2 linked regions of the Oreochromis niloticus genome follow. The protein of the gene in region 1 purifies or fractionates together with the protein of each later gene. This does not show direct contact. Links are inferred from orthologs where the notes say so. Each region holds a gene or a part of one and is shown in the gene's direction. Other genes may lie near its edges. The genes, in order: slc9a6a and mblac2.

The links.
Region 2: the proteins of slc9a6a (region 1) and mblac2 purify together in Homo sapiens (co-immunoprecipitation; 3 studies listed by BioGRID and IntAct, counting the BioPlex papers as one, with this or other methods). This does not show direct contact. The link is inferred for Oreochromis niloticus from reciprocal best matches to the Homo sapiens genes SLC9A6 and MBLAC2.

Annotation. Positions count from the first base shown.
Region 1 is NC_031966.2:19,243,344-19,250,892, forward strand, and holds the start of slc9a6a (sodium/hydrogen exchanger 6a), read left to right. Parts: upstream 1-4,070; 5' UTR 4,071-4,222; coding exon 4,223-4,514; intron 4,515-5,754; coding exon 5,755-5,954; intron 5,955-7,142; coding exon 7,143-7,220; intron 7,221-7,434; coding exon 7,435-7,511; intron 7,512-7,549. Other genes in the region: taf7 (transcription initiation factor TFIID subunit 7), read right to left, coding at 118-190, 669-727, 871-991, 1,173-1,306, 1,527-1,605, 1,701-1,777, 3,088-3,106. UniProt on the Homo sapiens protein: Endosomal Na(+), K(+)/H(+) antiporter. Mediates the electroneutral exchange of endosomal luminal H(+) for a cytosolic Na(+) or K(+).
Region 2 is NC_031977.2:14,420,173-14,427,765, reverse strand, and holds mblac2 (acyl-coenzyme A thioesterase MBLAC2), read left to right. Parts: upstream 1-4,137; 5' UTR 4,138-4,297; coding exon 4,298-4,739; intron 4,740-5,974; coding exon 5,975-6,189; intron 6,190-6,472; coding exon 6,473-6,646; 3' UTR 6,647-7,228; downstream 7,229-7,593. Other genes in the region: polr3g (DNA-directed RNA polymerase III subunit RPC7), read right to left, coding at 331-420, 514-630, 711-772, 850-909, 990-1,055, 2,577-2,706, 3,445-3,555. UniProt on the Homo sapiens protein: Acyl-CoA thioesterases are a group of enzymes that catalyze the hydrolysis of acyl-CoAs to the free fatty acid and coenzyme A (CoASH), providing the potential to regulate intracellular levels of acyl-CoAs, free fatty acids and CoASH.

The DNA of each region.
Region 1 (7,549 bases):
TGCCTTACTGAAGTACTTTTAAAGATGTAATACACACTATTGTTTTGATGGTTTATATACACCATTACTATTGTCCTAGGATGGACGTGCAGAATGTTTAGGTGTCAAAAAGGATACGGACGCTGACAGCCTCAGCATCTGTGCTCAGCAATCTCTTCACTTCCTTTTCCACATCAGGAGATTCAATGTACTGCAAAAGACAGAGAGATCGAGTTACTTGTAGTATTAGCAGCATCTCTCTTGCCGTCCTCCTCAGTCTCTATCTTACCCACACACACACACCAAGGTAGCAGCTGGCCACATGCCAGGAAGTACATTAGCGATTAAAAACAGAAGGGGCCAAATCAATATGGCTCAGCTCTGCACCTTCAGGAAGATTTATTCAGAAGACAAAGTAGAAGTGTAGTGCTCCAGCTCCACTCGCTTTCACTTTGATCAAAGCAATAGTGAAATAGCTTTTTTGCATGCCTTTGGGGAAAACTAAGATGGAAAGGCTTTATTTATATGTAAATCTTAGTTTTCACTTTTACCACAGTTCCTGTTTTATGAAATGTAAATGTCTTGTTGGAAGAGAGCCTAGGAAAAAGATGGATCATCAAACGAGATGCTAAGGAGATGGATGGGACATGGGAGGGGACTGCTGTAGGGAAAATGAAAAATGTCAGAACCTTTTTTTTCGCAGTCTTCCGAAATCTCCTCTTGCGCGTGTTCTTCAGAGGGCAGGTGACTAAAGAGCAAAACAATGGGATTAGTGAAGCCAAAAATCAGTCTATTACCCAAGGAGGGGACATTATGTTTCCTGAACTGCTGATATGCCAAGTTTTCAATATAAACAAGTCAAAAAGCTGCTGTGTGTATATAATTACTTACTGCCGTGATTCCAAACAAATTTCTTGTCCTTGTCTTTATCCTTCTTTTTGGTCTTAGGGTCAGTGCCAGTTGGCTCTTCCAAAGGGGGGTAAAGGTCTCCATCTAGTGTACACACGAGCATCTAACCCGTGGATGGGAAAAATGAATGCAAAATATTATGCTGATTAATCTGCACTGCAACTACACTACAACTGTGGAAAATAAATTTACATAACATGTATCTAAAATCCAAAATGTACTTTTATTTTAAACCAATGAAATAATGGAAAACTGTAAAAATTTATTTCCAGTCTCTTGCTTACCTGGCAGACATCTGCAGTCTTGTAAAACGTCTTCTTATCCACCGTTTTGAGTGACTCAATCATGCAGGGCAGATCAACCAGTTTGCAGGCCAAAGGAACACGGTCTACTCTAACTATGCCATGACGACCATCAGCTACAAATTAGAGGGACAAATAACTGTTAAGGGACATGTGGGTGACATTTCTTTAACTAGTTCCATTAGTATGCTTGTTACATTTAAATAACAAAAAGAATGAAACTGCTATAGAAATATGTACAATGTTCAAAATTCTGGACCCAACTGTAAATAAATAACAAGACAGGGAGACAGTGTGAGACACATTAAACCAGTGCCAAGATTGTGAGCAGCTTACGGTGCAACTCAATGGTGAGTCTGTCCTTCATGTTCATACTGCTAGACTGTGCAATCCTTCTTACTGTTGAGGCATACTCCTGCAAAAGAAAGAAAAATGAAGCCAGATCATATGTATGGTGATAAAACTGAATTTCCATCAAACAATGAATTTCTGCAAGTGCAAACGTCTCACCGAAGGAAGCCTAAGGACAAACTGGCTCTCCAACTCATAAGGGGCATCCTCCTTACTCTTGGAACCGACCTTCCCAACTAAAATCAAAACACATCACCATAATGAAAGCGTTAAAATATGTCTTGCTTGCTATATGATGACAAACTACAAAGTTTGTCATTCTACTTTAACATTAAAATATACAGTACATTAGGTACTCATTTTTTCCTATTTTGAAGTAAGAAGTAATATAGTGTCTAATATATTAATCTCTGGCTCTCTTCCACAGTGTCTTTTTTCACAGTGTCAGATGGATGCCACTCCTGAAGCCTGGTTCTGCTGGAGGTTTCTTCCTGTTAAAAAGGAGTTTTTCCTTTGCCTTTCCCACTGAATGCTTACTCATTGCATTTCGTTTGATTGCTGTGGCTTTCTCTGTATTATATTTTATTATATTATATTATAAATTCAGTTCAACTGAATCATCTGCTAGATGGACTGGTCTGTGGACCATTTAAAGCATTTTTGGTACCTTAGCTGGGCTCTTTGTGCAACTTTAAAATTCTACTACATTATATTTCAGGGGCAAACACTACACTCCACCACATTGTTTGACAGCTTTAATTACTGATCACTTTATAGTCTTTCATGTTCTTCCTGTGGAAAGAAACCTCCAAGTTTGGTGATTTTATATGCAATATTTTACTTTGAGTGTTCTTTGTTTTGCTTTTTTTTTTAAACTTGTGGAAAATTGTCTTTAAAGGTATGAGGTTTTCACTGGGCAGCAACACTAGAAATATATAAACACTAATTAATATCTTAAGTACCTACAACAGTAAAGTTTATTTCAGTGCTGACAAAAAAGGAACTTACAATGTAATAAGCTAAAAATGTAAATAGCCAAACCATTTTTATTTCTCACAGTGCGTATATGCAAACCAACAAATGTTATTGTTAGTTCAATATAACATTTAGTTTATTATATTATACTATGAATGAATAAATGAACGAAAAAATAACCAACGTTCCTACCAAATGTACTATGAATCTCTTTTCAAATTCTATCACGAATGTCTTTACATCAAAAGTAAAACACCGATAATTATTGCTAATAAAGGTTACTTGTGCATTTTACATTAGTGATGTCTACCACACTGTGGACCAGTAACACTATAGGAGATTATACATAATGTTCAAAAGACAGGAACGACAAACGCTAATTTGCGAACACAGTTGTTAAAATATGCCACAGACAACATGTTCTGTTACATCATCACCATTATTGTTACTATCAGCTTCATCTTAATAACCGACAACTAAAAATGTTTCTTTACCTTACAAAAGTGGAGGCTAAGAGGCTAACAGCTAGTTATCTTTAGCATAAGGATAAGGGCAGAGGATTTTAACGTACCTTTCAGTTTAGATGTCATCGTCGTTTTTCAAGTTTAGATGGTGCAGCTGTATAGATATCTTTCAATGGCAAACACGCATAAACATGACAACTCTAAGTAAAAAAAAACGAGACTTCTTAGCTACACGGTGATAGCATAATCACGAGCGAAAACAAGAGTGTTGTATAGGGCTTTGCCACTTTCAATACCTCCTCGGAAATTTGTATTTTCTGTACCTTGGCTGTACAACTCGTATGTCTGAGCATTAAATTACAAATTTAGGCATATTTTAGTTAATAATTAAGTAATTATAATATATATATATGCATATTTTGTACTGCCATGTTATTAAATAAGGACTAACAGTGCAAATTAGTTTGTTTTTCAGTGCATGACAGTAAAATAAAAAATTCCGATAAATCGGAACGTCACACGCAACCATCCGTATCACGAGACTTGTCAAAAGTACTTTTGAAAAACAAAAAATAACGAATATTCTTTATGCAATATAGTTAAATGTATCTATAAATATTTAAAATTATTATTTGATGTTCGTATCGTTATGCTAAATGGTCTGTAGGTAAAAGAAAAGTAGGAAGGAAGTAGGAATGAGGAAATACCACAGGAAATATGCGTCTATTTTTTATTTAAACTTATTCTATTAAGAATTAAACCGTAACCTAAAATAAATGTTAAGTTCGTTATTATATCTGGTTTATTTTTATTTATTTATTTTCAATACAACACAAATCGATAGCCTAAAGGACTGTTGGACTCACTTCCCGGTAAGCACGGCTATCGTCAAATATTTCATAATAAAAGATTTCGGGGAAAACTATCATCGCTAATAAGAAGCAAACTGCCAAGAAAACTGCCAGATAGACATTTTTGTTTATTTAGAAGGTTTATTCTTTTTGCGGCATTAAATTTTTCCACAGGCGTTGATTTTAACCACCCACGGTACGGTGGTGTGCTTTTAATTTGAAACATAAAATTACACTTTCTGGAAAAATTACTTTTCCCTTCCGGGCCGGAATTGGTTTCTCTTTTGCTGTCGTCTTTCTGTTGCCCACTCCCCTCAGTTTATGAATAATATTTGCACAAGTTTATTTTTACCTTCGGCGACGTTGCAGCATTTGGCCGCCGAAAGTCGAAATGGTGTTTAAAGTGACTGTCAGCAGTGCCCGGAGGGCAACAAGGACGCTGTGGCTGCTCGTGCTAGTAAGCCTGCCTGTTTGCATCAGTGTTTGCCGAGCATCATCACCTCAGGAGGACAGTGCCATGGAGAACATCGTTACAGAGAAAAAGGCTGAGGAGAGCCACAGACAAGACAGCGCTGACCTGCTGATCTTTATCCTGCTCCTCACCCTCACCATCCTGACAATATGGTTGTTCAAACATCGGCGGTTCAGGTTTCTCCACGAAACCGGGCTGGCAATGATTTATGGTAAGATGGTCCATCGTGACAGAGAGACGTCATCCGAGCTGTTACACTCATTGTGTCCTAATAGTTAGATTTTAAACAGATGAATGTCAACACCACGCTTGATAAGTTCGCCCCTGTTAATGACATACTTCATTTGGGCGAATTTTAACAGATTTATGCAGCAGGACTGTGCCAGTTTGTGTTGTGATTGAGCAAGCGTAATTTAACGACAGTGAACGCCTCTTTTACACTGCTTAGTCTTAAAAATTACATCTGAGCACCTAAGCAATTTCGACAAATACTGTCTTATGAATCCTACTGAATTTTAGTTCTTAAATAACTTGTTTTTGTTTTGTTTTTGTTTTTGCTTTTTCGTGCAAGTCACAAGTGATTATTTGGACAAGTGCCAATCATGAGTGTGGAACTGGACTTTGCTTCCACTTCTGTATATTGAATTTCAGGAGTATTGTTAGAATTCTTCCAACCCGTAGAAGAGGAAGTGGTCGTGCCATTGTAGAATCATCGTAGAACCATATCTAGCAGATAATTAATAATTTCTGTTTGGCTGTGCAGAGCTTTTAGAGTGTAAACATTCACAAATCACTCACTTTTAGTTTTTATGAAGGCTCCATAGGATGGATAATAACATTATGCTATTATTTTAGCTGTGACATTACTGTCTACTACATGGTTACCAAACCATGCATTACTACCATAGTAACAGATGTTTGATCTGAGCATTTTAAGTCAAGATCAGATCACAAATCAAAATTTGATCAAAATAGCTGGAAAGATGGTTGTCATCCTTCCTCAATTTTCTCTCCATGAGATATTTAAAGACATGTTGTGATGTTTATTTTGTGTGACATATTCCCCTCCGTTGACCAAGACAAATTTCTCCCACTGGAGACAATATGGTCTAATCTAATCTAAACTAATTGAAATTCTAATTTGCTGGTACACTATCTGATAGGGTAATTTATTTTCACATGGATGTGTTAAGACTTTAATTTGAGATCCAAAGCTGTTAGGTACGTCTGTGATGTTCAGACTAGACCTTTGTTTAATTTTTTTTTTCTACAAATTAATTCCACTGAAACATTTTAGACCATCTGTAGTGTCAGGTAGCCTAAAACTGCACTCACCATCCGTTTTTGTGGCAACATGCCATAAACCATTAAAAATCCTGTATTAATCAATTCTTCTCTCTCTACTGTTTTTTTTTTTTTTTTGTCTTTCGTTTTTATTAATTTTTCCCCAGGCTTAATTGTTGGAGTGATTTTGCGTTATGGCATTCATGTTCCTCGGGATGTTAGCAACATCACCTTGAATTGCCAGGTCAATGCCAGCCCTGCCACTCTGCTGGTCAATGTAAGCGGCAAGTTCTACGAGTACACATTGAAAGGGGAGATCAATGCCAATGAAGTGAACGACGTGCAGGACAATGAGATGCTGCGCAAGGTATACTCAGTCGTGATGTCTACATACAAGAAATTGTGTTACAGAGATGGGTAATTATTTTCCTAAGGGACTATGTGAGAAACTGGGACTGTTGTGGAGGACAGTGCCAGTAAATTGAACTCAGTATTAATTTTATCTCTGTATAAGTTATTGGTACAGCCCTCCACAAGAGTCCCAGTTTCTCCTGTATCCCCTTGAGAAGATTAATTCCCCACCCCTGAGCTGGAGCAATCAGATGATTTAATCATCAGCGAAGACATAATTGTCAGTTATTTTACACTGAAATGATAGCAGATGTTTAAATCTGCAAGCACTGATGATCAGACAAAACCAGCTACCCCACATGTTTCCCTTCTGATATTTTAAATACAGCATAACTAACCAATGCAAGAGAGAAATCATAGTCAGGTTAATTTGTAATGGGATTAAATGGTGGTTTTAGTTTTTTGTGAGCTGAATGATTTGTGATTCTCTTTCTGTAATACTAATTATTTATTATCAACATTAAGTAGCTATTTCAAATTTAAAAGAATAGCTGTACATCTAGATCAAATCTGTTTGAAGACTAAACAGGGCATGAAATGCTCTGTTAAAATAACTGGCAGAATGCCTTTATTGGTGATACAGAATGTAAAAGAAACCATAAAAGTAGTTGTTTTACAGTTGTCATGTGCTGGGGTGTGTTTGTCACTTTGTACTTTGTCGGTTAAACAGCTGCACAATTACATACAAGCAGTATTCTTGATGCTATTCTAACCACCAAACAAGTAAACAATCTGCTGAACAAGTTTCATTTTTTTAAGTCATAATCTCACGCTCAGCAATTTAGGATTGTTTTCCAAACATGAATACATCTAATCCATTGTCAGAGATTGAAACCACATACTGATTTGAATGTAGCACTGCTCTAGATTTAGCATCTAAAATTGGCATTAGCCTTAGTATGTGTATATGTATGTGGCTAGAAGCTGTCCTCTTTCTGTGACATACCATGTTACTTTTATAGTAGGTTTTTGTTTATTGTCCTGGAAGCTGTGTCATGATGCCCCAGATGTGTCATTTTTGATTAATTAATATTTCAGTCGATCCATAAATGCAACAGCATAGAAAGAAATATTAATGAAAACAACTTGTTAATTTTCTTTTGATGCAGATCGGCAATTTTGTTCTGTGTTTTGTATAACTCAGGTGACCTTTGACCCTGAAGTGTTCTTCAATATTCTCCTACCGCCTATCATCTTCCATGCTGGCTACAGCTTAAAAAGGGTACAGTATATCATATAAAAAGTCAACATTTATTAAATACATATTTTCAGTATGTGTTTGGCTCTTGATTAAATAACATCATATTTTGACTATGAAATTTTAAAAGTCCATTTGTAGTCTCTTTATAGACCGCAGGGGTTTCATCAAGATGAATAATTTATTTTATAGTAAGTATGCATTTGATTGCTGATCTGGTAACTCTTCTGTCTTTCAGAGACATTTTTTTCGGAACATGGGATCCATCCTGGCTTACGCCTTTCTCGGGACAGTCATTTCCTGTTTTATTATTGGGTAAAAGAATTAATTTGCAATTATTACAAAAAATATTT
Region 2 (7,593 bases), on another chromosome or scaffold:
TTTTAGACTTGTTATGTAGCCCTTTTATTTTCTCACTGTGTTCAGTTGATATTCTATGACAGAGCATTGTGTTCTTAACAGTATGTGCCTTTCAACCTGTGAAACTTGTCTACAGGATGAAGAATAAATAAATCTATTTTGAATAAATTATTGCCGTGTGCACATATTTCAGCATTTCTTATTTACATTAGTCTTTAACGAAAGCTTGATCAGAAAAAGAAAAAGGGCATCGCTCCACACTGAATAGCATTCCCAACTTATGTGCAATATTTAACCAAAAGAAGCAGTCACATTATGTTTAACTTCAGCACGTCCTTGCTTGAGAGACGCTCAGTATGTTGCTTCGCCATCCATATTATCGTCACTGTCCGCAGCGAAATCTTCACCGTTGTCGAAGTAGCTTTCTATGTAGTCGTTCTCCTACACAGAACGAAGAGAAAGCAATGTTAGATCTAGTTTGTACATATTGATCGTTATGTGTAACACATTTTGCAGTACATCTTGGAATCACACCTCTTCAATATCCTCCTCTTCATATTCTTCCTCTTCAATTTCCTCTTCATCCTCATTTCGCGGCTTCTTTTCAGTCTCCTCATCTGATTTTTCAGGGTCATCTTTGTTTGCCAGTTCCTGGCATTAATATCAAATTACTCATGTGAAACACCAAAGGTGTGGAGAGAGAACTGACAGTAAATTTAAATGAAGCTTACATCTAATTTGGTCAGAATGTTCTCTGTGTCCTTGCGTGATATCTTCGCACTTTTTTTTGTGCCTGTTGGAGTTAAACATTGGGTCTTTATTCTTATAGTAACAAGAAATGTGATTTCATACATATTGTATTTAATGTACCCGTTTTAGCCTGAGGTCGTTTTCTTCTGGGCATCAGTTCTTTTGGAAAAAGGTTCCAGTCTAAAATATCAAGAAAAATGTTATCATCATCCTCTTTTTTGTGTTCCACCTAATCCCATAATGATGTGTTACGCACGTACCTGGAGTCCATTCATTGTCGTCAATCTGGCTTTGCTTCAGGTATCTCTCGGTGTATCTCTCCACTTCTGTTTTCAAGTAAACAAAAGAAAGGTCATACTCTTAAAAACATTTAGACTAGTATGCGTCAACACAAACTGCAGTGTTACTCTAGAAGTTTACATACAGTCAGTAGCATGAATGTCATGGTCATTTGGGGCTTTAATGATTTCTTTGAAATGATATTTTTATAGAGTGGAAGGACTGTACAGCATGCATCTTTAATGCCTTTAAAAAAAACAAAAAAATACAAGAATTTGTTACAGAAGCTTGGATTAATTTTGGCAGGTCTTGAAGGATGAAAGGACTGATAACACTAAATGCCGCCCACCCAGACGGACCGGACTTTTAAGCATAGTCCACAAATTTTCAATAAGATTGAGGCTGTGGTTTTGCAAAAGCCAGAATTTTAATGTTAGTCTGCTTTATCCAATCCAAAACCAATTTTGATGTGTATTTGGGAACACTGTCCTGTTTGAACACCCAATTGTGTCCAAAGTTTCAACCATCTAGCTGCAAATTTCAGTTGAAATTGAAGCTGTTGATTTTGGAGCAGGGTATTCTTTTGTGGTCGGCAAAAGAATTAAAACTCGCTTCAGCGGCTGGTCTTTGAGTAGTTTCGATTTCACGGTAGACTTGAGACCCGGTTGTTCTTCGGTTGTTCGTGAACATCCTAACCAATTTTCTCTCATCCGAGGGTAACAGTTCGGATCTTCTTCCAGAAAATTGAAAACTTGGAATGTGATATTGTTTAAAATAGCTCAAATAGACTTTCCCAAATTATGTAAATTATCAATTCTCCTTCTTGGATCTTCACAGAGTTCCTTCAACTCTCCCATTGTGCGTCAATCCAATGAGCCCTGTCAAACAAATCCTTCTTTTTTTCCTGTCAAAGACAGACTAGTTGTAATCAATGATGATCACTGATGAGAAGTTAATAGGCCTTGGCCTCATCAAGCTAAAAGACATTTAGTATTTGTTCTGCTCTACAGCCCATGAACCAGCTCTCTTTTTACTGCAGGTTTTGGATGGAGTACAATGTCTAACAGCTATCTAAGACAGCGGAGGTGGTGCTCAACCATGGGATGAGAGTCTTGCTGAAGAGGCTGTAGATATGAAGCAGCAGCTGCTTCTCTGTTTATCGGTCATGATGTGTGTATATTTGCTTCTGCACAGAAGAACTGGGTGCACTTCCTTTTCATAGGTAATTTCCCTATAGTCATGTTCACCACAGACCCCCTGCTGAATAAGCAATCCCCCCTTCCCCCTATAAAATACACTGACTTCTTTACATGGTTACATTTAGCTAACTGTGGAACAGGAGAGTTTTGAAAGGCCAGTAATCCAGACAAAAGAAATCTGTGGTTTCGCAAGATGAGACATCTGTAACTCAATATTCTGTCATTAATCTGCCTCTCTCCGTTTCCCAGATATGACCTTAACTGAAAGTCTTTGTTCCTAAAAGCTGCATTATCTTCCCCCACAGCAGACAACTGTCTTACAGCGTCATTTCAGCTGATGTCAGGTTTCTAATGCACCGCCTTCCTCACCTGCTTTATTGGACTGAGGTTTGATGTTGTATGGCAGCCGTTGCATTGTTCCCCTCATCTCTTGTTTTAAGGCCAGCATATAGTCCTCATCCTCGCCAGCTTTCAGTGGAACTGGTTTAAAATCCGTGCTCTGGAGAAGTATGGATGATGTAATGCCGATATTAATAATGTTCAAGTGCAAATAAATTTCAAATCTAACTGAAATTCAGACTGCCATGTAAAGGTGTTCAACATTTTAAGTATGAATAGTCAAAATATACTACATTGTAAGCATAGTCCAAACTGTGTTTAAAAGAAAAAAAAAATCCCCATAAAGCATCCTGGCAGAATCCAAGAGGCACGTAAATATCTGCCATATTCTTTGGGAATACACACGACCAAATTAGAAAACCTGGCCATGAATTTAACATAAGCGCATACATTATTGCCCTTTACCCCCTTTGTGCTTATTTGTGAACCCTGTGAGAGACACTCATTGGGTCATAACTCTTAAACACATGTTGGCCATGAGCACGATAAATATACTTTCATCTCCCTTCATTTAAATACAAATGCAGTAAAATGTTTCGTAAATTTTATTACAAAGAATAAACCTTAACCTATTATAAGTAAACCTCCACTGTATATAGTCTGCTATTCAAATTCCATGCAAATTTCACCTACCTCTCTCAAAAAGGTCTCTCCCAAAGTCGCTCCAGTAAAGTTTGACCATTAGAGGTGAATTTGTTATACTGAAATGCAATCTGTCATCCTGCTGGTGTGTGTGTGTGTGTGTGTGTGTGTGTGTGTGTGTGTGTGTGTGTGTGTGTGTGTGTGTGTGTGTGTGTGTGTGTGTGTGTGTGTGTAAACGACTGTGTTCGGTACTTACTGGAAACAGAGGACTGGGCCCCACCCTGGCTTCTGGCATGTTGCCCCTGCCGATGCCCAGAGCGTCAATATTGAAGGTAAAAGCACCAACTCCACGACCCTTGCCTGCCATGGCTGCAGGTCTCCTCTGTTCCTGCACACACACACACACACACACACACACACACACGTCCACATATCTCCAGTCAACACGTGTTGATGAAAGTTAACGTTCTACAGCTTCCATCGCCTTTAGCGTGACTCTGCCAGCGATGAAGCTTTAGTCAGCATCAGAGACGCACTCTACGTGTAAAGTATGTCGAAATACTTACTAGAAGCCTGTTAGTATACTGCGCCTAATGTAAAAAAGCACAAAGTCTACTTCAGAGCTGGACAGCGATATTTAGCTCTTACTGGATCCACATGTTTCAGTTTTTTAATGTACCTCTCTGGCCGGTTTTATCTGTCCCTCGACAACTCCTTAAAAATCACATACATTTCAGCTGAACCTAATGAAGATACTGCTTAGACTTTATACTGCTTAGCTAGCACCGGCTTTGGAAACCTGCACACGCCATACGCCACTGTCAGCATGCGTAAATGTGGCTTTAACTCGCTCCTCCTCTGCGTGACGACAGAGGAGGCGTGGTTTGCGTATAGCCAATTGCAACCCACGTTAAGCTGCCGTCGTTTATCGGTTTGCCCAGTGAGCTTAGTGTCCTCCTACAAGGGTGTGTCTGCGGCCACCATCGCATTAACCTCAATGAAAACATATCATCTGTAGCTAGAAGGCTAGTTACACCTCTCCCCCCCAATAAATCACCTGACAGCAAGACACCATACTGAACCCTACTTCGACAAGCGAATGAACTGGGATGTCTGCAGTCGACTGGTACGCTCACAAATCGCTCGGAGACGGAATCTTCTGGATCCAGGAGCGATTCTACCAGTCGGAGAACCGAGCCAACATCTGGTTGCTGCGCGGCACACACCAGGACGTGGTGATAGACACGGGTCTGGGCTTAAGGAGCTTACCTGAATACATCGACGCCAAAGGCCTGCTGGGAAAAGACCCGCAGAGGAAAAACCCGCTGCTTGCCATCGCCACCCACGCCCACTTCGACCACTCCGGTGGTCTGCATCAGTTCCAACAGGTGGGCGTCCACAGCGCGGAGGTCGATGCCCTGGCCAACGGAGACAACTTCGAGACGGTCACTTGGCTCAGCGACAGGGAGATAGCCGAGGCTCCCAGCCCGGGATGGAGGGCAAGGCACTACAAAGTCAAGGCTGTGCAGCCCACACACATACTGCAGGAGGGTAGGTAGGAAATACAGCCCTTGCAGATTTGATTTAGGCTAGAGGGATGGATCTGTGCTCAAATACCAGCAAGGTCTAAAAGCATTCACTTAGTGACAAGCACCATAATCGATACAGTAATGGGCTTGATGGATGCACCAGGCCTAGTGTGAGCACAGTATGCTCTACAGAGTCGTTTCCAGCCTCAGATTCTGCACCGCGATTTGGCAGAAGACCAACAATGACTTGCTAGCTCACACATCGACACATATTATATATGTAATGGAGGTAGTGGGGATGAGACAAGGGGTCGGTCTGCCAGTAATTTTTACAGTTACAAAGTAGGCTAGAGGAACCAGTTCAATGCAGCAACATGAGGCCAGGACTGGTGATTACACAGGTGCAATTATCCCATTACACAAAACAGGATATTCTATCCAAGGAATGCAGGTACAGACAATTTCCCCCTATTAGAAGTGTATGGGTTAAAAAAACAACAACAAAAACTCCATTGGTAGCAACTATATGCTCATTCTCTATATCTGCAGAGCTGTTCTATTTTAAGCCAGTGTGATGGCTTTGATGTATTCTCTTGCTTCCAAGAAAGAGCATACAGAGACTGGTGTCACACTTAATGAAAGCATCCCACAGCGCGAAGTAACAACCACACAGTCTTCTCTTTTCTCAAACAATTTTTTATAGTGGGTCAAAGATCAGCAGGTGGCGAGCTGAATCAATCTACTTGATAAATCTGAAAGTGGATACGTTGTTTGAAAGCACTGGTCACTGGAGTCTTTATATAAAGCACACATTCATCAGAATAGCACACATAATAATACACAAAGCTTATATCATAAATAATGTATTTGCTGAGCCGCCGTATCTGTTGGGGTTTAATGCAAAATGCAGTGTTGTAGAGTAACTCGTTCTGCTGTGTCAGAGCCACTACTGCAGTGCAGCTGGTATATCTCATTCCCTGATGTATCAACTTCACCCTTTTTGCCAGTGCAACTCATAACTGGCGTCGACCAAATCGATGATATACTGAATGTCACAGAATCTGTGTGACTCAGTGACATGTGGAAAGCACAAACATAACTCTGACGTGAGTCAGCCAGAATATGAGTTATCACTTATATATAAGTCTAAGATTTTAAATACATAGTGGCCGGTGATTACGGTTCATGCCACGTTTGTATGTGTGAATAATTATCAAAACCTAATGCCTTCACTCTCTCTCTCTTTCTCCTGCCTAGGTGATGTCATCAATCTTGGTGACAGACAGCTGACTGTGCTTCACATGCCCGGACACTCTCGGGGAAGCATTTGCCTTCATGACCGGGACAATAAGTTGCTTTTCAGTGGCGATGTTGTGTATGACGGCGCAATGATTGACTGGCTGCCCTACAGCCGCGTCAGTGACTACATCAGCAGCTGTGAGCGCCTGGTTGGGCTGGTGGACAGCGAACAGGTAACTCTAAAGCCCACTAGAGAGCAGCCTCACAATTTCAGTACACAGTTCCACTTTTTTTTTCCAGGGGTATTTATCCCAAAGCACCTTATATCAACATTTCATAGATTTATAATGAAAATATCATGTTGCTCTGCTGAAATTTGGCATACCAGTATCTATTAGCCTACATATACAAGCTGTGTTTTCTGTGCTAATACTTAAAACAATATACTTTAACATGTGCTAAACATTATTTGTTAAATAAAATACATGTTTATTGGCTTTAAAATGGATTTAACAGGTCGACCAAGTCCTCCCGGGGCACTACAATGCATTCGGTGCGAAGCGGCTCCATCGGCTTGCCTCCACGTACATCAGCAGAGCTGAAACATGCCCTGCAAAGTTCTCCACGTTTGCCTGGAGGAGTCTGGCTGGGGTGGCGCTGCGGGTGTGCAACCCACAGTGTGCCTGCTAATGAGAGTGGGTCATTGAGCTGCAGGAAGCAAGTGCACAAAGAGAGATGTTTTAGTATGGAGGACATGGAAGAGTGTGAGGACAGAAAGGGTGGGGGCGGGGTTACCTCTGTTTTATCTGCAACTTAATGTAACGCTGTCCATTTACTTATGTAATCCAGCTGAAAATCAAGTAATTGCCAAACTTTGTGTGAAATGCCCCTACTGGGTTACAGAAGTCAATAATCAGCACCATATGAAGCCTATTATAAAAAATATTTACTGGTCTTATATGCTGATGAATATGTATATGTTGGTGTTAATATAATTCAGTGTTTGATTTTTATACTTTAAGCATATGTGAAGTTACAATAGCACAACAATAGCATAACTCTGCACTACAAACAGAACAGGGCGCTTTGGGTTTTCCTCTGAGACATTTGAAACAAAGTCATTATGGCCATAGTGTTCTCTATGCATATTACAATGCTCAGTGAAGACTCAGTGTCGACTACCTCCTATGTTTGTAATTGTGCTTTGTACTATTGACTAATCTACAGCTTTGCTATCGAAACATAGACAATAAAAAGTCTCTGTTCTACCTGCTTTTTGAGTCTTTTGCAGCACAGATTGCAGCAGCTTATAAGTGGATTTGCTTCTCCAGGGGGGAACTCAAATGGGATTTGTTGCAAGAGAGAGAAAAAGGGGCAGAACAGAGGTGGATGGAATATGATCCAACACCTGTTCAAAGGATAGAGAACTTAAAGTCATTTTCTAATCTGATGGAAACCTCTCTCAATGCATGGAAAGGGTTTAATTTGGGGGGCTTTTAGTTTGAAAAGTTAAGAAAAGTAGGATGATTTAACCTTCTAACAGAAATATCAGATTTTATTTTTAAGTTCAATGCATTACTAAAGAATTTCACCATAAAAATGTACACATAAAAATATGTATAGAACATGTTAATTTG